3 linked regions of the Xenopus tropicalis genome follow. The protein of the gene in region 1 interacts with the protein of each later gene in a pairwise test. Links are inferred from orthologs where the notes say so. Each region holds a gene or a part of one and is shown on either strand. Other genes may lie near its edges. The genes, in order: ehd3, rbsn and micall1.

Region 1 (4,345 bases):
GGAATTTGTATTTAACATTTTATAGTAATAATTAAAATAAATGCCCTTCCTAGTGATGGGGTAATGGCAGATTCTGTTAATGCCTATAAGAGGGGCCTGGATGAGTTTTTGAACAAGCAGAATATCCAAGGCAATTGTGATACTAATACCTACAGTTAGTATTACTGGTTGTATATATAGTTTATGTATGTGAGTGGATAGATAGGTAAGTATAGGCTGTGGGTGCTGGGTTTACTTGGAAGGGTTGAACTTGATGGACACTGGTCTTTTTTCAACCCTATGTAACTATGTAACTATAAATGTAATCATGTCATTATTATTAATGGAGACACTGATATCCACCAACATTTGTGACAATTTTTATCCCTGATTTATGATGAATTTTGGAAAAGCCCCGCCCATTTGATTCCAACACAAAAAACGAAATATGGAACCAGCAGGTACAGAAACATGAGAAATACATGCGATGCTTGATGTAAACTCCGCTCAAGCTCCCAGCAGTGCAGTAAATGAACGCCAAGCGCACCCTCAGCACATTTTCCCAACTCATTATATATTATAAGTGTTTCATTATGTGTTTTGTTCTGAGCATCAGTCCTCTGAGAACCCTACAGAACTACATTAAGATAATTACTAACAGAACCATAAGTGGCACTTGGTCCATATAAAATTGCTCTAATAGCACGGACGACCTGTGTCTCTTGTGGAACTACAACCCCCAGCATCCCTCATATGCCAAAGATCCCCACCAAATATATTTTTTTATGTTGGATCAATAAAATGCATGTTTTGCAGAGTATACTGTATATTTAGTTAGTTCTACGGGGGAAAAGCAACAGCCAGGGTGTACAACTGCCACAAAGCCAAAAGTTCTACAGGGCGTCACGCCTCCTTTCCATCACCCACAGAATATGCTTGTGCTTTGCACAAATGGATGGTTAGTCCATCAGCCTTACCCATCAGGCCCACATTAGGGAACCCATCGGCCCTACCCATCAGTATGACAGTAAAAAGCCCATTGTAAGGAGCCTGTAAGTCATACCATTTAGCCTTACAGCTGTGAGCCCACCAGCCCCAGCCAGCAGTTCTACAGAATTTTACTCATCATCGCTACACCAGTCCATAAGCAAAACCATTAGCTTAATAGATAGGAGCTCCGTTAGCCCTACCAATTAGCCTTATATTAAGAAGACTATCAACTCTATCCATCAGTTCTAAAGAATAAAGCTTTGTTAGCACGAGAATGCAGAGCCCATCAGCCCTACAGAACTGAAACCACCAGCCCTAGAGAATGGAGCCCATAAACCCTAGAGAACAGAGCCCATCAGCCTTAGAGAATGGAGCCCATAAACCCTAGAGAACGGATCCCATCAGCCCTAGAGAATGGAGCCCATAAACCCTAGAGAATGGAGCCCATCAGCCCTACAGAACTGAAACCACCAGCCCTAGAGAATGGAGCCCTTCAGCCCTAGAGAACTGAAACCACCAGCCCTAGAGAATGGAGCCCATCAGACCTAGAAAATGGAGTCCATCAGCCCAAGAGAACAGAGCCCATCAGCCCCAAAGAACTGAAACCACCAACAGCCCCAAAGAACTGAAACCACCAGCCCCAAAGAACTGAAACCACCAGCCCCAAAGAGCTGAAACCACCAGCCCTAGAGAACTGAGCCCATCAACCCTAGAGAATGGAGCCCATTACCTCGATAGAACGGAGCCCATTAGCCCTAGAAATTGGAACCCAACGGCCCTAGAGAACAGAGCCCATCAGCCCTAGAGAATGGAGTCCATCAGCCCTAGAGAACAGAGCCCATCAGCCCTAGAGAATGGAGTCCATCAGCCCTAGAGAACAGAGCCCATCAGCCCTAGAGAATGGAGTCCATCAGCCCTAGAGAACAGAGCCCATCAGTTCCAAAGACCTGGAACAACCAGCCCCAAAGAACTGGAACATCAGCTCTAGAGAACAGAGCCCATTAGCCCTAGAGAACAAAGCCCATCAGCCCTAGAGAACTGAAACCACCCGCCCTAGCGAATGGAGCCCATCAGCCCTAGGAAATGGAGCCAATCAGCCTAAGAGAACGGAGCCCATCAGCCCAGATAATACAGTTAGTCTATAAGCCAATGCCAAGTCAGTGAGTAACTGTCGTGTAGGTGAGTGAGCAGTTTAACGTTAGCTGAAGGCTGGACATTCCTACACTATCAAATGAATCAGTGTCACAGTAGAAAGTCAACTTTCCCCCCAAAGTGAGTCCATGGTCCCATGATACGGGCTCCCTCTCACAGTCACGCTTACACTCATACTCATGCACTGAGACCCCACCAACCCAATACCTGATGAAGGTGGTCTTCCCAGTAGAGTACTGTCCAACCAGGAGCACCATGGGCTTGTTATCAAAATCCGCATCCTCCAGCGCCGGCGAATGAAACTCGTGGAATTTGTAATATTCTTCCAGGGGCAGCAGCTTGGTCTTGTAGAGCTTCCTCAGCCCATCGCTGACCGTCTGGAAGACCTCGGGGTCCTTCTTCCTTCGGTCGTCGGTCCCCAGCCAGCTGAACATGTTGGGCTGTCACGGCCAAGGCAACGCGCTCTGCGGGGAGAGATGTCCAGCGATTCCCTGGGATCTGCAGTCAAATCTGCCCTTTATATATATATTCCCACCTCAATGGACCCCACTCTTACTATTCAGCTTTGGTTTTCAGCTCTGATTGATGGGCAATCCTGCAGGGCATGCAAGTGCAAAGCTAAATGTGTCCCTCAGAGCTGTGTGCAGCAATAAGCCTTCCCCAGACCTCTCATGTCATCCCAAGCAAAGAGGAACCACAAATAGACAGCAGCCCTGTTCTCAGCTGGATTTTAACTGCCAGCTTCCCAGGAAACTGACCTAAGCCGGAAGTGCCCATCTCCTGGCAAGCCGTCCCGACTGTAACATGGGAATGAAGCCGGAGAGGGCGGGGCCAAGTCTAACGAGGTGCGGCCGGCTTAGCTCCTCAGTACTGCAGTGTAACAGGGCTGATCTGAGAAATGATCGGCATCTCCATGGAAGTGTTCGCTTGGCGACACCTACAGGAGAGAGTCTGTAATAGCACTCTGCATAGCTGGGCCCTATAAATAAACCCCCTGAGGTAATGAGGCGTTTGTTTGTCTGGGGGCCCGCAGCATGCTGGGTAATCTGCCCAATAATTACAATTACATTAGCTTTAATTTCATCATCTGATGGCTGTGTGTCAGGCTGGCCTAGCTCTCACTGCCACAGCAGGATACCTGGAGTTGTACAGGGAACTCTGAGTATCACTCATGTATTATAAGGGATAATGTACCCCCTACTGTAAATGATAAGGATATTAGCAGTCCCTGAGGGGTTCTGTGCCCATATAAAGGCACAAGGCTGCAGGCTGAGTTATACAGGGAACTCTGAGTATCACTCATGTATTATAAGGGATAATGTACCCCCTACTGTAAATGATAAGGATATTAGCAGTCACTGAGGGGTTCTGTGCCCCCCATATAAAGGCACAAGGCTGCAGGCTGAGTTATACAGGGAACTCTGAGTATCACTCATGTATTATAAGGGATACTGTACCCCCTACTGTAAATGATAAGGATATTAGCAGTCACTGAGGGGTTCTGTGCCCCCCATATAAAGGCACAAGGCTGCAGGCTGAGTTATACAGGGAACTCTGAGTATCACTCATGTATTATAAGGGATAATGTACCCCCTACTGTAAATGATAAGGATATTAGAAATCACTGAGGGGTTCTGTGCCCATATAAAGGCACAAGGCTGCAGGCTGAGTTATACAGGGAACTGTGAGTATCACTCATGTATTATAAGGGATAATGTACCCCCTACTGTAAATGATAAGGATATTAGCAGTCACTGAGGGGTTCTGTGCCCCCCATATAAAGGCACAAGGCTGCAGGCTGAGTTATACAGGGAACTCTGAGTATCACTCATGTATTATAAGGGATAATGTACCCCCTACTGTAAATGATAAGGATATTAGCAGTCACTGAGGGGTTCTGTGCCCCCCATATAAAGGCACAAGGCTGCAGGCTGAGTTATACAGGGAACTCTGAGTATCACTCATGTATTATAAGGGATAATGTACCCCCTACTGTAAATGATAAGGATATTAGCAGTCACTGAGGGGTTCTGTGCCCATATAGTAGATGGGAAAACCTGACTATTTAATGATCTGATTTTGTATTTTTCTATTTTTTATCAGATTTGTTTGTGTAAATGTATAGAAACAGTAAACTAAAGCAGAATAAATAGAAATACATTAATTGCGAGTGCGTTAAATGCCGATGAGCAGCGTTACACTAACTGCATGCAGTAACCTGAGG
Region 2 (3,649 bases), on another chromosome or scaffold:
TCACAAGGGGGACACGCGGGAGCAGCGCCCCAGGTCACACATTCACAGGTGGGACTCCATTCTTAGCTTTCAGCCCATTTACGGAGTGATGGCCAATTCAATTAAATAAAGTGGCCAACGTTATCATACCATGAGGCAGAGCCCTGGATCAATGACAGGTAAAAGGATAAGAAAATATGGTCTCTGTCGTGCCAGTCCTTTCCCTTGAAACTGGCCCTGAAGTGCTAAATAATTACAGATCCTGACCCTGTACTAAAACCACTATTTCCTTTTTACCTTTTAAACATATGTTGTCCATAGTTAGTGTTAACTGGGACCAATAGCGTTTTATGAGCTCCTTTCATGAACACTTGTTAATGGGTTTGTTAAAGGGCAACTATCCCCAACCAACAACAAAAATTAAATTGGTTTTACATCCATATCTAGTCACATGGGTTGGGTATATGTCCACTTTAAAACTGGACCCACTGTGTGAATTTACTATGTTATACTTACACAAAGGAATAAGGACAGACTGTGGCTCTGAGATCTAACCTTATTAATGGAAAACATATGTATAGGCATAAAAGTATTTTTTACAGAAACATTGGTCTAGGCTACAGCCCTTTTTTAAGCTGATATGATACAAGGGGCCAAGGCTGATATTTAGAGTTTTTCATGGCAGCATGGCCCTCCCAATCAATCACATACACATCACAGCATGAAGCAATGCATTGGATGACTGAGAAAATAATAACCACTTACTCCTAATGGTATAATGCCCTTTAAAGGGTGGTATACCCTATTTATAAGTGACTTTGCATTTATCTTCCCATACTGTTTGCAAAGATCATTCTATCTCTGTATATATTACACAGACATGGTAGCTGTCAGATTGCTGCTTTCAGCTGAGGACAGATGCTGGGACAAGCATATTGGCAGCTCCCATTCATATGTAAAAGTGGATGTAACCAATGAAATCATGTAACAAACCAAGCTGCAATACTTTACTGCCTACTGAAAAGAAACAAATTGGAAGCCTATATGTGACAATGAAAACTGAATGGGCACTGAAAAGCCACAATCTTGACCACATAACCCTTTTGGTGCTACAAGTGCCCAGGACTGCAAAGGTTTTAAATGATCCAGAACTCTGAGCATGACCCGCTGTTCGGCCCCATGGAGGTGTTTTTCTCACCACTCTGTGTTATTTAATTTGCTCCTTCTGTTTGGCAAGTGTCTTCTTCAGTTCTCGCAGATTCTCAGTTAGAACCTCTACTTCATCCAGCCGGCCACTGTGCTTGGCATCAAAGATGTACGCCTTGATGTTATCAATCTGTTGCAGCAGCAGATCTTCTTCTATGACCTCTTCATCCTGGGTCTCCTCACTGTCCTCAAATGGGTTTCCTGGGATCTGATCCTCATCAGTTTCAAAGGGATTCTGGGAAATACCTGATGCGCTATTACTGTCTGTGGAGCATTCAAAGGGATTGCTTGAGGCAGGGGCTGTTAAATGTTTATTATCCTCTTCCTTACTATCCAAGCCATTCTCATCATTCTCGTCAAAGGGATTATACTCCTTCCTACCATTGTGATGTGTGTGGAGAGGAAGCAAAGGTGCTGGTTCATCATCCTCATCTTCGAAAGGGTTAGAGGGTGTAACTTTACTCTTCTCCACTTTGGGCAAAACAGGGGTTGTGGTCATGGAGTGATTTGGAAGTACATGGTAGTCCTCCACATCCAGTTTGCTTTCAGTAACACGCTGGGATGGAAGGGATTCGTTGAGGTCACGTTTGGGAAATTGTAGGTCCAGAGCTGCTGTCTGTTTTTCCTGCCACCCCATTGGCTGTCCCTGCTCTCTAAAATCCAATGAATGAGTTCTGTTGTGTTGAGCTAAGCCTTTGAGTTGCTCGCGTTTCACCTCTCTTTTCCTCAGCACTTCCAGCTGCTCCCTCTGCATGGCCTCCTCCTCAGCCAGAACCTTGGACATCTGGATGGCTGTTTCCACCTGCTGCTCGTCGTACTCCTCCTGCAGTTGTCTAAGGTTATCCTCCAGCATCTGCACCTCGTCCACTCGCCCAGCATCTTTGGCTTGCCGGATGTACGATGTGATGTTTTCAATCTGCTGGAGAAGGGGGTCTGACATCTCTCTGTTTCGAGGGTGTCCGGATGTCGGAAGCCAGCCCTCAACTTTGCGAATCTGACCACTCGGAGACAGACCACCATTGCGTACATCCCTTTTCTTGTCATCACCGGCCTTCTGTGCTTCAGCCTGCAAAAGAAAATACAGAGAAGCTGCTGAAAGAAACTTCCTCCAGACACTCACAAAAATAACATGTCCTTCTGCCATGGATTTAGCCAAGTGTAGAATTTAGAGCTCTAAACTCTAAAACTGCAGCTTGCACTTTTCCAGACAGAGAGCTGCATGTATCACCACTTTTGTTAATGGTGCTTGGGTCAGAATGCTCAATCCTTCCTGCCTTCTATTCCAAATCAGACACTGCTGCGCCTATTGAGGCAGGGAACCCTGGAGCTACTGCAACCTTCTTATCAGGCAGTAGCTCCAGGGTTCCCTTTGTGGTCTTTTTGCCAAAGGGCATGTGCAGCAATAATAGGGCACACATGTCACTCGCATGCCAAACACCAGAAATGATGCCAGCGAACCCTGACCAATGGCCAGTCGGATTTAGAAAATAGACTGTGCCTGATTTGACAAAAGCACATGTGCCGCTACATCAACTTCATCAATAGAATCGCCCATTTGGATCTGCAATGATACCAGAAATCAAGAAAAAATGTTGGAATGTGGGAAAAAAAGCAGATTGTACTTATAATTGCACTTGACGTAAACGTAAAGCCTTCTTCTCTCTATACTTGCCCTTGTAGGTTAAAAGGGTCTGTCACATGGCTAAAGGTCCCCATACACGGGCCGATTATAGCTGCCGATATCGGTCCCTTGGACCCATTCGGCAGCTTATCAGCCCGTGTAGCGGCAGAACCGAGGGGCCTGGCTGACCGATATCTGGCCTGAAATTGGCCAGATATCAATCGGCCAGGTTAGAAAATCCAGTTGGATCGGGGACCGTATCGGCTTGTTGATGCGGCCCCCGAACCGACTGCCCCATTGCCGCCCACATAATCCGATCGTTTGGCCCCAGGGCCAAAATGATCGAATAATTTTTTTTTTTACCTAAAAGCTCCCCGATATCAGCCACCCATAGGTGGGGTTATCGGGTGCAGATCGCCAAGCGAGCGGATCTCAGCATGTATGGGGACCTTTAGTGTTGCCACAATTATTTAATCACAATAATTTAGGTAGTATTATGACTTCCAGTATCTTTTATGGGGTTTGGGGGTGATGGCCCAGGCCCAGACTGGCAATCTATGGGTTCTGGCCAAAGCCAGAGGGGCTGCTGTAAGATGCCATAGACAGTCACTATTTATTGGGCTGGTGGGCGCAGTTTGGGCCTCTGTGAACACCAAGGCCAGTTTTGAATCCCAGTCTGGGCCTGGAATCGTCATACAATTGAACTAGCAGATATATGTTGGTAGCAACAGCTAGCAGTTGCACTATGATAGATTACTATAGGATTACTTACCTGTCGCTCTCTCTGCAGTTTCTGCTCATTCTCTTGCCTCCGCTTCTGTTTAAGCTCCTCGTATATTTCTT
Region 3 (4,379 bases), on another chromosome or scaffold:
TATTGTGCTGCCTCAAATACATTTCACTGATATGCTACTGTAATCAGAGTACAACTTCTGTAAGAGATTAACTCATAAAGGAGAAATGTTTGATTTCGGCACAGTAGTGACAGCATTGCAATTGTTATTGCCACATATCCTTGTGAGCATGAATCAGATTTTCAGGCGGAGGAATGAAACTGCTTGACAGTAAGAAATTCCTATTTATAGGCAGGGAAAATGAGCGCGCAGCCTATAAAGAGAACTGGGATGGCACAATGACTCCGTGGTTGGCACTGCAGCTTGGCAGTACTGGGGTCCTGAGTTTAGTCCTGACCTGAGCTGTGCAAGGAGCTTGTTTTTCCTATGTAACTGTGGGTTTCCTCAGAGGACTCCAATTTCTTCCCACACTCCAAAACATGTTATATTTTCATGGTTAATGTCAGACATGGAATTTTTTCATTTGGGAGGATTTTTCTCCATTGGCAGGGGGCAATTATATCAATAACGCCATGCCATTAAATTCAATGGAATCTACTTGTCACTATAAACATGACTGTTTTCTGGGCAAAATGTGTGAATAGTTAACTGACCCTTTGACTGGTAGAGAAAACACCATGTCTGACTTTAGCCTAAAGAAGCTTGTTTTTTAAATGTGGGAGAAAAACATAGAATCCTGATCAAGTTGGCAGCTTATAGGCTTATAGTGCATAAATGACGGCTCAACCAATATTTGACTTGGGTTCAGACAGGTATTTATTAGGTTATCTACAAAATCCTTTCAAGTTAGGATATCCGGACATGGCCCAAATGTGATCTGATCACTGGCCTAATTTGACTCAACAAACTGGGCAAAGATTTGCTTATTTGTCGAGATACGTGCATTGTGGTTTTATTCTTTGGGGAAACCATGTAGAATAATGACAGGCGACTGTCAGAAATTGCAGGTACTGAAAAACTCAAACACCCATAATCCCTAACCATTGACATAATTCAACAATAAGGGAATGCTAACTATTTCCCACATTTCCTAGAGAACTGTAAAGGATTTTTGAGAAATCTGTGCAGTGTAGGGCTTCTGACACAGCCCTGCCCAATCTGCCTGCCACAGCTGGTGATTCCCATTTGCCAATGTCATCCCTGGTCAAAAGATGTCAGCAACTTCCCACTGGGGCTTGGGTGGGTTGTAAACACACACATAGAGGGGCAAGGGGTCAGATAAAAAAGGACAATAGTAATAACCTATTAGTCAGAACAAAGCCAGCAGCCTTAGGGGGTAGGTGTGAACTTAACGCTCACCTTCTAGTCTAATATACATATAATTTACACACAGTGGACAGCTATTCTAACAAGATGATAATTTAATATAGGATGACTGTGGCTTAAGGCTAGGAACAAACTGTATCTGTTTGCACCTATGTTAATGAAATAATAGCTGGAACATAATTCCTAAATGTGCAGCCAAAGAAGGCCTTTTTCAGGAATGAAATATGGACAGAACTTAGTTACACCCCAAGTGCAAAACCTGTGCGCAGTGCAGATGTTCTATGTAGCTTTACATCCATGGGCACAGGTACTGTATTTGCAGGCAACAATCCCTCACCAGTCCTATGAACATGACCCCAGTGTTTCACACGATCATGGTGCATTCTATTTAGAAACATCCCACAACCTGACTGGTGACTGGCGAAAATATTATATTATGCCCCTTTCACAATGAATTGTTAGTTCTTTTTACTCACATGAGATCAGGCCGATGGCGGTGAATGAGAGCGCAGAAGGCCAGTCCATCCCGAAAAGATGAGCTGAGGTCATAGATCAGAATGCCAGGGTAACCCTCACACTGCCGGGAGCACCACTGCTGTAGATTCCGTGAGGCCGACATAATTCTGGTACAAAAGAAGAAAAAACTTAAAACATGGAATTTTACATACAGCTATTAGTGAACTACATTTCCCTGCAATCCCAGCAAATGAAGAGAGCACAAACTCCCTTCCAGTTGGAAACTCATATATTGGTTATTATATTATATTATATTATATTGGTTATTCCTGATACAAAGTGAAGGATACCACTGGGTTGTGCCATGCTAAAGGAATACTGTAAAATAATGGCAATATAATTGAAAAAGATACATGGGCAATAGAAGTGATTGGCAAATTAAAGAAAAGGGCCATTGGTGCAGAGGAATAGGAACAAACAGACATAGGATACCAGTCTCTCCAATGTTGCATATAACTCCCCAGCTGCTGTAATACTTGTGCCTCTATTCTGTGCCAGTGCCAGGCTGTGTGGGGAGGCATTACAGTAAAGGTAGGAAAGAGATAACATAACAGGAAAAGTAAAGGAGGCTGCTGGGCACAATGCAGCCTGGCACCGCAGGGCACTATAAAAGGCAATGTCAGGCTAGGGATGGAAGAAGGACCAACTGCACAAGGCAAAGGGGCAGTTCTTAGTAAGGGGAGGCGATTGGGGATGAGGGGGCAAATAGAGGACACGGAAAAGTTAGTGACTAGCGGGGGTGGGGCTGTTAGGGGGGCACTGGAGGAACAAGTAACGCAATACACATCTACATTAATACATGGATTTGTGACAAACAGCTCTCCGTATAAATACTACTCCCTAGGGGAGATCCTGGGAGCTGTAGTCCAACAAGAGGCGCACAGCGCAGGTTGAAGCCTTTAGGGCATGGGGACATGGGGTTCGCTAGGTAAGGGGATCTGGAGTGTTCGGGCACCTGGTGTGTCCTGTGGCTCTGTCGGGCAGCCTTCGGCCTGGCTCCCAGCTCCTGCTCCCCGGTCTTCCTCAATATTGCCAGCCCGATTTCTGCTCTCCGGGGCGGTGCCTGTCTGTGGGTCGGTGTCTACGCCTGGATGTACTGCTCCTCCTCCTACAGTGAGGCGGGGAATGGCGAGGGGCTGTACTGCCGCCTCTGTGCGGATGTGCTGTACTGGCCGGCTCGGCTGTGGGTAATGCCCTCGGAAGGGAGCATGTAAGTAGGGGTGGCTCCTAGATTCGGGGTATAGAGGGCATTTAGCTTGGGACCCCGGCATCAGAAGGGTAGCTCTGACTCACATATTGTGTATATACTGGAGTGGAGAGTCCTAAGGGACAGGGGGGGCTGTAAGCACTCTGTGGGATTTTGGTTTTGCTTGCAGTGCAACGACAACCTTCCTGCATTAGTGACCCCCCCCCCCCACATACACATAGTGGTGCCTGCCCCCCACATACACATAGTGGTGCCTGCCCCCCACATACACATAGTGGTGCCTGCCCCCCCCCATACACATAGTGGTGCCTGCCCCCCCCATACACATAGTGGTGCCTGCCCCCCACATACACATAGTGGTGCCTGCCCCCCCATACACATAGTGGTGCCTGCCCCCCACATACACATAGTGGTGCCTGCCCCCCACATACACATAGTGGTGCCTGCCCCCCACATACACATAGTGGTGCCTGCCCCCCACATACACATAGTGGTGCCTGCCCCCCACATACACATAGTGGTGCCTGCCCCCCACATACACATAGTGGTGCCTGCCCCCACACATACACATAGTGGTGCCTGCGCCCCACATACACATAGTGGTGCCTGACCCCCCCCATACACATAGTGGTGCCTGCCCCCCCCCATACACATAGTGGAGCCTGCCCCCCCCATACACATAGTGGAGCCTGCCCCCCCACATACACATAGTGGTGCCTGCCCCCCCATACACAAAATGGTGCCTGCCCCCCCCACATACACATAGTGGTGCCTGCCCCCCCCACATACACATAGTGGAGTCTGCCCCCCCCACATACACATAGTGGTGCCTGCCCCCCCCACATACACATAGTGGAGCCTGCCCCTCCCCATACACATAGTGGAGCCTGCCCCCCCCATACTCATAGTGGAGCCTGCCCCCCCCCCATACTCATAGTGGAGCCTGCCCCTCCCCCATACACATAGTGGTGCCTGCCCCCCACATACACATAGTGGTGCCTGCCCCCCACATACACATAGTGGTGCCTGCCCCCCACATACACATAGTGGTGCCTGCCCCCCCATACACATAGTGGAGCCTGCCCCCCACATACACATAGTGGTGCCTGCCCCCCACATACACATAGTGGTGCCTGCCCCCCCATACACATAGTGGAGCCTGCCCCCCCCATACACATAGTGGTGCCTGCCCCCCACATACACATAGTGGTGCCTGCCCCCCCATACACATAGTGGTGCCTGCCCCCCCATACACATAGTGGTGCCTGCCCCCCACATACACATAGTGGTGCCTGCCCCCCACATACACATAGTGGTGCCTGCCCCCCACATACACATAGTGGAGCCTGCCCCCCACATACACATAGTGGTGCCTGCCCCCCACATACACATAGTGGAGCCTGCCCCCCAC

What was found.
Region 2: the proteins of ehd3 (region 1) and rbsn interact in binary tests that used the Homo sapiens proteins (3 or more experiments, as listed by UniProt). The link is inferred for Xenopus tropicalis from reciprocal best matches to the Homo sapiens genes EHD3 and RBSN.
Region 3: the proteins of ehd3 (region 1) and micall1 interact in binary tests that used the Homo sapiens proteins (3 or more experiments, as listed by UniProt). The link is inferred for Xenopus tropicalis from reciprocal best matches to the Homo sapiens genes EHD3 and MICALL1.

The regions. Positions count from the first base shown.
Region 1 is NC_030681.2:7,392,512-7,396,856, reverse strand, and holds the start of ehd3 (EH domain-containing protein 3), read right to left. Parts: upstream 2,861-4,345; 5' UTR 2,556-2,860; coding exon 2,329-2,555; intron 1-2,328. UniProt on the Homo sapiens protein: ATP- and membrane-binding protein that controls membrane reorganization/tubulation upon ATP hydrolysis. In vitro causes tubulation of endocytic membranes. Binding to phosphatidic acid induces its membrane tubulation activity.
Region 2 is NC_030680.2:132,268,595-132,272,243, reverse strand, and holds part of rbsn (rabenosyn-5), read right to left. Parts: coding exon 3,579-3,649; intron 2,252-3,578; coding exon 1,187-2,251; 3' UTR 1-1,186. UniProt on the Homo sapiens protein: Rab4/Rab5 effector protein acting in early endocytic membrane fusion and membrane trafficking of recycling endosomes. Required for endosome fusion either homotypically or with clathrin coated vesicles.
Region 3 is NC_030680.2:122,117,225-122,121,603, reverse strand, and holds the start of micall1 (MICAL-like protein 1), read right to left. Parts: upstream 2,913-4,379; 5' UTR 2,717-2,912; intron 2,390-2,716; exon of another isoform or gene 2,194-2,389; intron 1,869-2,193; 5' UTR 1,865-1,868; coding exon 1,722-1,864; intron 1-1,721. UniProt on the Homo sapiens protein: Lipid-binding protein with higher affinity for phosphatidic acid, a lipid enriched in recycling endosome membranes. On endosome membranes, acts as a downstream effector of Rab proteins recruiting cytosolic proteins to regulate membrane tubulation.